Arabidopsis thaliana: one gene and its partners. The protein of the gene in region 3 purifies or fractionates together with the protein of the main gene of each other region. This does not show direct contact. Each region holds a gene or a part of one and is shown on either strand. Other genes may lie near its edges. The genes, in order: ndhK, ndhJ, CRR6 and CRR41.

Evidence for each region.
Region 1: the proteins of CRR6 (region 3) and ndhK purify together in Arabidopsis thaliana (affinity purification with mass spectrometry, with the first as the bait; one study listed by BioGRID). This does not show direct contact.
Region 2: the proteins of CRR6 (region 3) and ndhJ purify together in Arabidopsis thaliana (affinity purification with mass spectrometry, with the first as the bait; one study listed by BioGRID). This does not show direct contact.
Region 4: the proteins of CRR6 (region 3) and CRR41 purify together in Arabidopsis thaliana (affinity purification with mass spectrometry; one study listed by BioGRID). This does not show direct contact.

The regions. Positions count from the first base shown.
Region 1 is NC_000932.1:48,757-51,795, forward strand, and holds ndhK (NADH dehydrogenase subunit K), read right to left. Parts: upstream 1,179-3,039; coding exon 501-1,178; downstream 1-500. Other genes in the region: ndhJ (NADH dehydrogenase subunit J), read right to left, coding at 1-397; ndhC (NADH dehydrogenase subunit 3), read right to left, coding at 1,245-1,607. UniProt on the Arabidopsis thaliana protein: NDH shuttles electrons from NAD(P)H:plastoquinone, via FMN and iron-sulfur (Fe-S) centers, to quinones in the photosynthetic chain and possibly in a chloroplast respiratory chain.
Region 2 is NC_000932.1:48,102-51,021, forward strand, and holds ndhJ (NADH dehydrogenase subunit J), read right to left. Parts: upstream 1,053-2,920; coding exon 576-1,052; downstream 1-575. Other genes in the region: ndhK (NADH dehydrogenase subunit K), read right to left, coding at 1,156-1,833; ndhC (NADH dehydrogenase subunit 3), read right to left, coding at 1,900-2,262. UniProt on the Arabidopsis thaliana protein: NDH shuttles electrons from NAD(P)H:plastoquinone, via FMN and iron-sulfur (Fe-S) centers, to quinones in the photosynthetic chain and possibly in a chloroplast respiratory chain.
Region 3 is NC_003071.7:19,612,858-19,616,295, forward strand, and holds CRR6 (chlororespiratory reduction 6), read left to right. Parts: upstream 1-1,799; 5' UTR 1,800-1,883; coding exon 1,884-2,079; exon of another isoform or gene 2,080-2,105; coding exon of another isoform or gene 2,106-2,157; coding exon 2,158-2,702; 3' UTR 2,703-2,912; downstream 2,913-3,438. Other genes in the region: NET3C (Kinase interacting (KIP1-like) family protein), read left to right, coding at 3,146-3,236, 3,318-3,438. UniProt on the Arabidopsis thaliana protein: Required for both formation and activity of the chloroplast NAD(P)H dehydrogenase (NDH) complex of the photosynthetic electron transport chain. May function in assembly or stabilization of the NDH complex.
Region 4 is NC_003070.9:18,932,640-18,935,860, reverse strand, and holds CRR41 (potassium/sodium hyperpolarization-activated cyclic nucleotide-gated channel protein), read right to left. Parts: upstream 1,563-3,221; 5' UTR 1,520-1,562; coding exon 884-1,519; 3' UTR 562-883; downstream 1-561. Other genes in the region: AT1G51110 (Plastid-lipid associated protein PAP / fibrillin family protein), read right to left, coding at 65-118, 188-481; AT1G51090 (Heavy metal transport/detoxification superfamily protein), read right to left, coding at 2,114-2,535, 2,658-2,739, 2,865-2,876. UniProt on the Arabidopsis thaliana protein: Required for both formation and activity of the chloroplast NAD(P)H dehydrogenase (NDH) complex of the photosynthetic electron transport chain.

The DNA of each region.
Region 1 (3,039 bases), on a different chromosome or scaffold from region 3:
TTAGGATCCGTTTCAGTCGTGGATGGCTATCATAAGTGATTCCTAACATATCATAAGATTCCCGTTCTTGAAAATCCGTACTTTTCCAAACCCAGAAAACGGATGGAATTCTAGGATTACTCCTGTGAGTAAATACTTTTATGCAGACTTCTTCCGCTTGATTAACACCATATTCTATTCTCGTAAGATGATACACGCTGGCTAAGAGGCCACCTGGTGCCACATCATAGGCACATTGCGAACGTAAATAATTGTAACCATATACATATAAAATTACAGCAATAGAATGCCAATCTTCGGGCTTTATTTGTAAAGTCTCTATTCCTTGATAATCGAAGCCCAACGATCTATGAACCAGCCCGCGTTTGGCTAGCCAAACGGACAAAGTGCCCTGCATCTTTTTTATTTCCCCCACACCTTTTTTATATAAAATTAAGTATTTCACATTTACCGTTAATTCTAATTTATGAAGATTTTTTTCTGATTCTCTAAAAGCCTCCCTAATTCACTAATTCGTGGGACGATACTGGACTTTTGTATTTAAAAAATGTTTCAGTAGAGATCTCTGAAGTAGATGATGGTGGATAGAGTAGTTCTTGATCATAATTTCCAATATGCGGACTGCGTACAACAAAAAACTTGTGATTGGTAGTAAAACACCGATTACCCTGTTGAGGTCTAATTCGATCCTTATAGATTTCTCTAGCTATTTTCTTACGAAGCTTTGTTATAGCGTCTATAACAGCCTCTGGTTTAGGTGGACAACCCGGCAAATAGACATCTACAGGAATTAGCTTATCAACTCCTCGAACAGTACTATAAGAATCGGTACTGAACATCCCCCCTGTAATTGTACAGGCTCCCATAGCAATAACATACTTCGGTTCAGGCATTTGTTCATATAATCGCACTAAAGAAGGAGCCATTTTCATTGTTACTGTACCTGCTGTTAAAATAAGGTCCGCCTGTCTAGGACTCGATCTTGGTACTAACCCATAACGATCAAAGTCAAATCGGGAGCCTATTAATGAGGCAAATTCAATGAAACAACAACTGGTACCATAAAGAAGCGGCCATAGGCTGGAAAGTCTTGACCAATTTGAAAGATCATTTAACGTAGTTGAAATAACGGAATTTTTTGTTGTTCGATCAAGTATGGGAAACTTAATGGAATTCATAATTGTTTCAATGGTTTTTTTTACTTTTTTTTTTTTTATTATTGTATCAAGTATTCGGTAAACGAACTAAGACCATTCCAATGCTCCTTTTCGCCATGCATAAACTAAACCAAGAATTAGGATAAGCACGAAAATGAAAGCTTCTATAAAAGCAGATACCCCCAGTACATCGAAACTCATTGCCCACGGATACAGAAAAACAGTTTCAACATCAAAAACAACAAAAACTAGAGCAAACATATAATAACGGATTCTAAATTGTAACCAAGCATCCCCGATCGGTTCTATACCTGATTCATAACTAGAAAGTTTCTCCGGCCCCTTCCTAATTGGAGATAAAACTCCGGAAATTAGAAATGCCAAAACAGGAATAGCACTTGATATTAGTAAAAATGCCCAGAAAATATCATATTCGTAAAGCAGAAACATAGACGAACTCCTATGAATGTGGAAAAAATACCCGCTTAGTCAATTCCAATCGGAGTGGATTGGGCAAGGGATATAGAACTCTTGAGTCAAAACAAAAATTCAGGTTAATCGAATCATTTTTTTTCGTTTGGTTGTTGTGGTAGACGTCTCGTTTTAAGATTTATTGATTTCTTATTTTCAGTACACTTATTACTTAATAGTTCCATGTTTCTATTACTAATAGTTTCTAATATAATAATATAATATTAATCTGATTAATAACTAGTAATTTTTTTTATTTCTGTTTATGTTTAAAAAAATTTTTCGAAAAATCTCTTCGTTTTTTAAATGATGACGTATCAAAAAATCCAGTAAGACTTTACCATACTCATCTTACTTAGTATTAGATAGATTGAATTTTGGTTGAATTTAATTAGATTTCTTTTTTTATTTTTAAACAAGGCCGTGTGATAAAAAAAGTAACCAAGATTGAGTGGGGATACAAAAAAAAAAAGAAAGTATTATGAACTTTTTGATTGTAGCTAGTGAACGAGGAAAATTCATATAAAAAAATTACAACTATGAAAATTAATGAAGAAAAAGGTTTATTCTAAATTATAAATTAAGTATCTATCTCGATATATCGATAGATAGTGATTGGCTCCATTGAAATAAAATGAAATTTTCCGTTTTATTCTGAACGATCCCCAGGACTTATGGTTTATGATATGGAAATTTTTTTTATGAACCGAGCAATTAAAAGTAACCTGTTAGAAATAAAGAATACAAAAAAAAGTAAAAAAATTTATCCAATTATTTTGATTTTAATGTGATTTTTTAGAATAAATTTCTTAGTTAGGGCTATACGGACTCGAACCGTAGACCTGCTCGGTAAAAGAGTTCGAACTTATTATTATCAAAATGATTCGAACTCTTTCAAAGACCCAACATGCATTTTTTTTTGCATTGGGCTCTTTCATTAACTGATCGAAAGATCAGTTAGTCTACCATATTTTTTCTTAAAAAAAAGATAAGAAATGGTTCCAAGTACTCTGATTGATTATTTTTGAATTCTAATACAATACAGAAGAACTACCAAAGTGTTTCAAAGAAGGGTTCTCTTGACGTAGGTTTGCTTTTGGTCTAGATCAACTTAAGTTAAATATAGTCTCTAACATCCTGATTAAAAAATCAAACATGAAACTTGATACACCTTAAGGTTCATAGGACGAAAAGATCATTTTTGAGTTCCTTATACTCATTCTACCTAGCATTGAGTAGACTGGGTATTCACCCTATCAATATCTCAAATCAATGATGGGTTCTATTCATTCCCTACCTAACGGGGTACTTTAATAGGACCTAATGTCAGGCTGTTGTTCTCCTCTTTTTTCCTAAAAAAAAGTCATGGAGTAAGACATCGATTTCTTAATAAGATCAATCAATTAGTTTG
Region 2 (2,920 bases), on a different chromosome or scaffold from region 3:
ATGGTGGACATAGCTTTTTTCCGGGGGACTTGAAATCGTTGTGCCACCATTCGTAAAACGAGGATGATCCTTCGCCGGGATAGCTCAGTTGGTAGAGCAGAGGACTGAAAATCCTCGTGTCACCAGTTCAAATCTGGTTCTTGGCAGAGGATTTATTAATTTTGATAAGTTTTTATTCTTCAAATTAAACGTATCTTTAGTAAAAAAAGTGCAATTATGCTTTATCCCCTCTCTTTTTTTTGTTCATGTTGTGAATCCAGCCGTTCAAAAAGAATGTATAATACTTGATACATAATACATATCCGAAAGGAAAGGTTAAATGAGTTCCGTTGAATCAAACAAGTAAAAAAAGGTCTATATGTATAGTATACTATAGTTGAAGGGCAAAAATACCCCAAGGTTCATTAGATACAATAGAAATAGAATTGTATCCCCCCCTTCATTTATTGCTTTCCGATCTTATTTATTCATTCCCAGTTATGTGACTAAAGTTGACTAAGTTATGTGCGCGATACAAAGTTCATAATGCAGAACTCTTTTTTTTTAGTTCATCCTATTGGCTCATTTTTTATCATTCAATAAGCATCTTGTATTTCATAAAAATTGGGGGCAATATAATCCTTACGTAAAGGCCACCCTATCCAACTCTCGGGCATTAGGATCCGTTTCAGTCGTGGATGGCTATCATAAGTGATTCCTAACATATCATAAGATTCCCGTTCTTGAAAATCCGTACTTTTCCAAACCCAGAAAACGGATGGAATTCTAGGATTACTCCTGTGAGTAAATACTTTTATGCAGACTTCTTCCGCTTGATTAACACCATATTCTATTCTCGTAAGATGATACACGCTGGCTAAGAGGCCACCTGGTGCCACATCATAGGCACATTGCGAACGTAAATAATTGTAACCATATACATATAAAATTACAGCAATAGAATGCCAATCTTCGGGCTTTATTTGTAAAGTCTCTATTCCTTGATAATCGAAGCCCAACGATCTATGAACCAGCCCGCGTTTGGCTAGCCAAACGGACAAAGTGCCCTGCATCTTTTTTATTTCCCCCACACCTTTTTTATATAAAATTAAGTATTTCACATTTACCGTTAATTCTAATTTATGAAGATTTTTTTCTGATTCTCTAAAAGCCTCCCTAATTCACTAATTCGTGGGACGATACTGGACTTTTGTATTTAAAAAATGTTTCAGTAGAGATCTCTGAAGTAGATGATGGTGGATAGAGTAGTTCTTGATCATAATTTCCAATATGCGGACTGCGTACAACAAAAAACTTGTGATTGGTAGTAAAACACCGATTACCCTGTTGAGGTCTAATTCGATCCTTATAGATTTCTCTAGCTATTTTCTTACGAAGCTTTGTTATAGCGTCTATAACAGCCTCTGGTTTAGGTGGACAACCCGGCAAATAGACATCTACAGGAATTAGCTTATCAACTCCTCGAACAGTACTATAAGAATCGGTACTGAACATCCCCCCTGTAATTGTACAGGCTCCCATAGCAATAACATACTTCGGTTCAGGCATTTGTTCATATAATCGCACTAAAGAAGGAGCCATTTTCATTGTTACTGTACCTGCTGTTAAAATAAGGTCCGCCTGTCTAGGACTCGATCTTGGTACTAACCCATAACGATCAAAGTCAAATCGGGAGCCTATTAATGAGGCAAATTCAATGAAACAACAACTGGTACCATAAAGAAGCGGCCATAGGCTGGAAAGTCTTGACCAATTTGAAAGATCATTTAACGTAGTTGAAATAACGGAATTTTTTGTTGTTCGATCAAGTATGGGAAACTTAATGGAATTCATAATTGTTTCAATGGTTTTTTTTACTTTTTTTTTTTTTATTATTGTATCAAGTATTCGGTAAACGAACTAAGACCATTCCAATGCTCCTTTTCGCCATGCATAAACTAAACCAAGAATTAGGATAAGCACGAAAATGAAAGCTTCTATAAAAGCAGATACCCCCAGTACATCGAAACTCATTGCCCACGGATACAGAAAAACAGTTTCAACATCAAAAACAACAAAAACTAGAGCAAACATATAATAACGGATTCTAAATTGTAACCAAGCATCCCCGATCGGTTCTATACCTGATTCATAACTAGAAAGTTTCTCCGGCCCCTTCCTAATTGGAGATAAAACTCCGGAAATTAGAAATGCCAAAACAGGAATAGCACTTGATATTAGTAAAAATGCCCAGAAAATATCATATTCGTAAAGCAGAAACATAGACGAACTCCTATGAATGTGGAAAAAATACCCGCTTAGTCAATTCCAATCGGAGTGGATTGGGCAAGGGATATAGAACTCTTGAGTCAAAACAAAAATTCAGGTTAATCGAATCATTTTTTTTCGTTTGGTTGTTGTGGTAGACGTCTCGTTTTAAGATTTATTGATTTCTTATTTTCAGTACACTTATTACTTAATAGTTCCATGTTTCTATTACTAATAGTTTCTAATATAATAATATAATATTAATCTGATTAATAACTAGTAATTTTTTTTATTTCTGTTTATGTTTAAAAAAATTTTTCGAAAAATCTCTTCGTTTTTTAAATGATGACGTATCAAAAAATCCAGTAAGACTTTACCATACTCATCTTACTTAGTATTAGATAGATTGAATTTTGGTTGAATTTAATTAGATTTCTTTTTTTATTTTTAAACAAGGCCGTGTGATAAAAAAAGTAACCAAGATTGAGTGGGGATACAAAAAAAAAAAGAAAGTATTATGAACTTTTTGATTGTAGCTAGTGAACGAGGAAAATTCATATAAAAAAATTACAACTATGAAAATTAATGAAGAAAAAGGTTTATTCTAAATTATAAATTAAGTATCTATCTCGATATATCGATAGATAGTGATTGGCTCCATTGAAATAAAATG
Region 3 (3,438 bases):
ACCCTAATAAACCCACATTCGGAACGAACGAGATCTCAACGAACTAAAACACAAGCTCCTCCAAATTATTAAAAAAAAAAAACACGCTTCTTATTACATTCAGATCAAGAGTACTAACCCAATAGGTACAAGATCCGATTATAGATAGAGATCCGGATACAGAGAATAAATACCTAAGAAATCCCAAGCGAAATTAAAAAGGCCGCATCGATTCACAAGTTATACGAGCTTCACATCAATAAGAATCCAGGTGGAGCTTGGGAACAGTACCCAGGTCCCAGATTGGGGCATCGAAATCGACAACCAACACTCGAAAGCGAATGCCTTTTACAACCCACAGAAGAAGAAGCGGTCAGAGGAAATAGATTTTAGGGTTTGACGGGGGAGTGAATATGTATGTCTGTCTCTGTGTTATCCAATCGCTTCCTTCCTTGTCTCATTTTTAATTGTTGTCAGTCAGTCATTTTATTATTTTATCATTATTTTCTTCAAACTAAATTTGGTAACAAAGTTTTACATTTCATTCTAATTGACCGTATTCTTACCGATTTATCTTCTGCCTTTTTAATTAAGGGATATATATAAAGAAAGCTTTTCAATTATAGAAATAAATTAAGCTGCCACATGATAACGAAATTAAAGTGTGCTTTCTATGTATTTCTCTTTCTCGTTGTTATCTTTTGTTTTGGTAATGTTTCTAGAAATGTTGGAACTTCACCGAAATAAACATGGTAACTGACTAGATTCTAAAAAATCTTGTTCAAAATTCATCATATAAAATAGACATCTGAAGATAAGAAGACTTACAAATAGAATACTTTGGTTTAATGGAAACTTTCTTTCCGTTTTTCCTCTTTTTACGCAATTGTATTTGACAAAACAAAACTAAGCAGAGTAAGCTTTTTGTTGCCGTGATCACAGCACTTTCGCCGCTTTAATGGGCCAAAAGGTGTTTTAACGTTTTACTTTATATAATTAAGATGAAATCTTCCTTCTTTGGATATAAATAATGATTTGGACAACTACTGATTTGGTCAAAACGTAAACAAAAACAAACAAACAAAGGAAAACGTCAAAAAAAAAAAAAGGTGTTATGAGTTATAAAAAATAACATTATTGGGCCGTAAGAATCCTTTTTTTCGTCTATATGGGCCGAATTGAAGTCTAAATGGGTCTCGATCTTAACTATGCCTACACAGCATAAAGAAGTTAATCACTACAACAAAATCATCATTTGGCCTTATAATAGATATTCATTCTCAGGCACTCTAAGACACTGTGAAGTGGATCTTTTGACGCTTATGTTCATCTTACTAGATTGCATAGGTGAGCTTTTTCTCTCAAATCATATTATCTTTGCCACTGCTATGGTAGAGACCTTGGGGACTTATCTTTGCCAAGGAATGTTCCATTGCATAGCTATTTAAACTTTAAAGTGAGCAGAATTCTCAGTCTTTGAGCTACTTACTTACAAAGCCTCTATTGTGCAACTCCTTTGACCCGGTACGACCTTGGAAGACAAAGAAGGCCTCACTGCTTGCAAGGGGCAATGGCGAAGAAGAAGATCAGAGACGGTCAAGCTTGCAGATGCTCCTGAAACACCTCACCAACAGTGAAGGAGATTCGACAATGCCTACATCTACATGAGACCGAGGAGGCTGACTTGAGTTGAAAACATTCCACATTAAAGAAGAGAGCTCTTCATTTTTCTGAACGATTGAAGAAATGCATTCTGCTTAACATTTGAAACCTTTACGACAGACAGCAAAATATATGTATTTGTGCGGTGAAGGAAAAAAGGATAAAATGGAAAGAAATGAAGAAAAGGCCAAAAGAAGAGGATAAAAAGAAGACTAAGACACAAAGAGAGATAGCGTCTGTGAATGGCAACAAAGGCAGTTCTTCTCCCGTGGCTTATCCCATCGCCGAGACACGTATCGCTGTTCCCAGTGGTTCAATTGCCGGCGTTGGAGACCGCCGGGTGGTGTGTAAGAAAGAGGAGGGCAGAAGACGTAGCAGTCTCCGTCGCCTTCAATCCTTCTGGCAATTTCGACATCTCTGCCTTCGAGAATGACCAAGGTTCGTACTTGCTCAATTGATTCAGAATGATAAATAAAAAAAGGCTGCTACTAATTAATTATGTGAAAGGCGTAGCAGATTCAGATAAAGTGGAACCTCCGATGCCTCCAACGACCGGCCGGTACGAAGTAGTGATCGACAACGACTCAATTGGGCGGCTTGACCTATCCCCGTTTCAGAGAGCCATCGGCATAACCTCGCCTGATGATTTTGGTGTAGCTGAACCAAAACGGTATTTGGATCGAACCATCGGATTCACCATCAATTACAAGAGAGAAGACCCCGGGGATCCGCGGGAGCTGTCAGAGTACCCGGACGTAAGACTATGGTTCGTGAGGCTCGACGCGATGTACCCTTGGCTGCCTCTGCTGCTGGACTGGCGAGCTGGAGAACTTGCTCGATACGCAGCCATGTTAGTGCCGCACCAGATGAGCTTGAGAATGGGTGTCGTTTTCAATCCGGAGGCGTTGGAGCTTTTCGTAATGAACAAAGTGTTTGTGGTTTATCCGTGGCTGAAACGGCACGGCGTCCCAAAGCCCAGGTTGAAGACGAGCGACATGGCCAGGATGCTCGGATTCGGTATCGGCGATGAGCTCTTCGACTTGATCGATCACAATGAATGAAAAACGATGTGTTCTATCTTCAAATTACATACGTGGGCCTAATTGTGGGCTTACAATGAAAAAGGCCTGGGGATGGTAATTAAGAGGATTTTTTTGGGTATTTGATACACACGTGGCGAATATTCATTGGATAAGTTGTATTAATAGCCGTAAAATCTGGGAAAATAAATTCAAAATCTCGAATATCTGAAGAGAAGAGAGAGCCCATTCAAAATTTGAAAAACAAATCAACAATTGGTTTATTCGTATCTTTCTCATTTCTCTCTAGTCTATATCGCTCTCAGAATACAATTGGAAAAAAGAACAAGGTATTTAGGAATCTCTCATTCTTGAGTAGCTAAGCATTGAGGTCTCCTTTGCGTTTATAGATTATTTTTTTTGGTTGAAATTGTTTGGTTCTGTTGGGATATGTTGTTGTGTTAGGGAAGAGAACACAAAAAGAAATGGTTAGAGAAGAGGAGAAATCGAGATGGTGGTGGTTCGAGAGCCACAAGAGCTCCAAACATTCTCAATGGCTTCAATCAACACTCGCTGGTTGGTTCTTTTTCTCACTCAGTTCTTCTCTATGTTTTGTGGTTTTTGCCAACTTTTTGGTGTGAAACGTTTGTGGTGCAGAGATTGATGCAAAGACAAAGGCAATGTTGAAGTTGTTAGACGGAAACGCAGACTCTTTCGCTCAGCGTGCTGAGACTTACTACAAGAAACGTCCTGAGCTTATCAGCTTTGTCGAAGACTT
Region 4 (3,221 bases), on a different chromosome or scaffold from region 3:
GAACAAAACATAACAGAATTTGGTAATTTGAAGATAAAAGGATTCACAAGAAAACATTTCATACAGGATTTTGAATGCCTTCTAAACCTTCAAGAACTTTCACAGCAGATTCAACATCCTACAACAGAGAATCTCTCAAATCATAAACACGACGGAAAATTAAAGAAAGTTTAAAGTTTTTACACACATTGAGCTGTTTAGGAGAAGCAGATTTGCCACGGCCTTGAATTCCGATCAAAGCGTCAATGAGTTTCAACTCAGCATCATTAAAAGACGATTGTTGAGTTTGGTCAGTGACAGTAGATGAAGATGAACAACTGATTCGCAGAGTTCTACAGTTTCTAGACAAACCTAGTCTCCTGCTTGTTGTGTTAAGAAGATTGAATCTCGGAGAACACAATGAAAGAGAAATCGGCGATGATGGGCATGGACATAAACATGGTAGCGACATCTCTACAGCGTAGAATCTGACTGCCACCATTGTTGCTGTCTACTGCTGCTTGTGAAGCTTTTGTTAAAATGATTAAACTTTGCATTTTTAATGTGTGGTGTACAATAAAGCTTGAGTCTTGGTGAAATATCTTGAAATATGAAACTAGTGGAAGTAAAATTTTCTCAACTAATTAAGTTTTTTCCTCCCAAAAACCCTTAAGCTTCCTCACAAATTGCAAAACCAAAAGCATGAATCTTTGTTTTGATTCTTCACATGAGACTCTCATCTTCAATCCTTCTTCTACCATTAAAGTAACAGATGAATGATCCAGAGATGATTACAGAACCAAAAAAATAAGATCTTTTACAGATGAAGAAGCTCTGTTTTGTGTAAAACTATAAACAAAATTCATAGACTTTTGACTCAATTTGCAAGTAGAAGAAGAAGGAATTAGAAAGAATTAGCAACAAGAATAGCTTGTCGACACCGAGCTCTAGCTTGTTCAATCCTCTGACTCAAAGTTTCATCTTTAACAGAAGCTTTAACCATAGCTAAATCCATCTCCATCAATTTCAAAACCCTAAAAAGCTCTGTAACCATTCTCTCTTCAACTTTACCTTCATCTCTCAAAACCTCAGCTTCTTCTCTAGCTCTCTCTGCAACAATCTCACCAGCTTTAGCTAAAAGCTCCTTTGATCCAAACTCTCTCGCCATTAAAGCTTCGAACTTTTCTAAGAAATCCATTATTACATAACCTTTAGGTTTCTCCAAGTTTATCTCTTTTGTTCTTTTCCAACCGATTTCGAAGTTTGGTGGCTCTGGTTTCTCGATTCCTCTTTGTGTTCTGTCTCGTATGATCTCTGATCTTCTTCGTTTCTCTATTGGGAATTTCTCTGCGCTTGTTGTGTTGATTGATTCAGGTGCTGGTGTGAGATTGATGAATTGATCCTTTGACTCTGGATTCGACGAACATTTTGTTGAGAACTTTGTTGTTCGACGAACGAAGCTATTGGTTCTTATTGGGACTGCGATGTGAAGATTCTTAGAGGAGAGAGATGGAAGAAGAAGTGTGGAAGTGGAAGCCATTGATTTAAAAAGCTTAGAGGAAGAGTGTTAAAGAGGGTTTTGAGAATTGGAGAAAGATAAGGCCTTCTCTGGAGTTACAGTACACTATAGCGTCGTTTAAGTGTTTCAGACAAGAACGTCACGTCGTTTTTAGTTTCCGTTTAAACGGTGTCGTGTGGAGGTGTAAGCACCACGGCTGCTCTTTTCACAGTAGAAAGAAACAGTGTCATCTGTGGATAAGTAAACTGTAAAAACATAATAGTTGAGTATTCATCGACTCATGTCACTCATTGGAGAGGCCGGTCTCAGAGTTTTTAGTTTCCATTCTTTCGTGCTAATATACTTTTATTTTCTAACAGAAACTATATTTTTATGCGAAAAATCTTACTATTTGTATTTTACTACCAAGAAAAGAAGAGCAAATAAAAGTTGTATTAGAACCAAAACGTGATATACACAAGAAACAAAACCCTGTAGTGTTTACATACATAAACGAGGACTCGAAATAGAAATACTGGTAAGACGAAGACAATTAAAAATAACTTCGTGTAGTTATTTATTTGCTGGTATATACTATAGTCTATATATGAGTAGGAGGAGACTTGGTTCAGTGTTTCACATGATGGAGCATCCTTGAGAGTTCATATCTTCGTGGCAACATTGTCGTCCACCTCCCCAGCTCTCGTAAACGGGCCTTCCATAACATTGGTACTGTTGGGCCTCGTAATACGGCCCACAATGATACGGCTGCCACATCGGCATCGGTTGAGGAGCGGAAGACGAAACAAGAACAGGAACCGGAGCCGGCCGAACAAGAGCTGGGGCTTGGGCTTGGGCTGGGGCTGGGGCTGGGGCAGTAGGCTTCTGAGGTGGTTGAGGCTGGGGTTGAGGCGGTTTGGGTGGCTCAAGGATCACGATGGACTTGATAGAACCGTCTCCTTTGTAGCAAAGTTTGTTCATTAGCCTCTCAGGATCGTAACAAACTACTTTGATGATGATCGTGTTGGACTTCTCATCAAACAATTCGTCTGTTATTTCTATTTTTTTTTGCAAAACAACACATACCACAAAATCGTATCCATTTATCAAGATTCAGAATCTTCTCAACCCGCAATAATTCAAATGAACAAAGAAACTCAAATTAAAGAAAGAAACTCACGAGGGAATTTGCGGATAGCTTTCTTGACCTTTTTGTAGCATTTGGAACAGTTTAGATCCACTTTCAATTTCATCATCACTACCTGTTTGTGCATATCATATAATTTCATGATCATTATTACCTTAATTAGTAACTCTATTAGAGGGTAATTATGGATATGATCAATAAAAGAGAAGTAATATGAAAATTCAGATCTTGGTAAAGTACCTTCTCCGCCATAGCTTGGGAGTCTTGCTTGAGTCACCAAACAAGTACAAGAACACAAGTATTTTATGTGTATTCCTTGCATGATTCAATATATATAGAAAGTGATATAAAGAGAGACTTAAAATGAGAACAAGAAAGAAAAAGTTTATTATTTCTTTCGGTTTTATCAAATGAAAATATCTAATTTTGTATCTAAAATGACGTGTATGAATTTATGAAACACGGTGTATCACACATAATTTCGAAGTTTCTGAAGGTGACGCCGACATCAATTACGCACACAGCTGAGAATTACCAAAACGGGCTCACATTAGTCAGTGCACGACCACAGTTCAAGTGCTTATAGTGGTCCAAGTT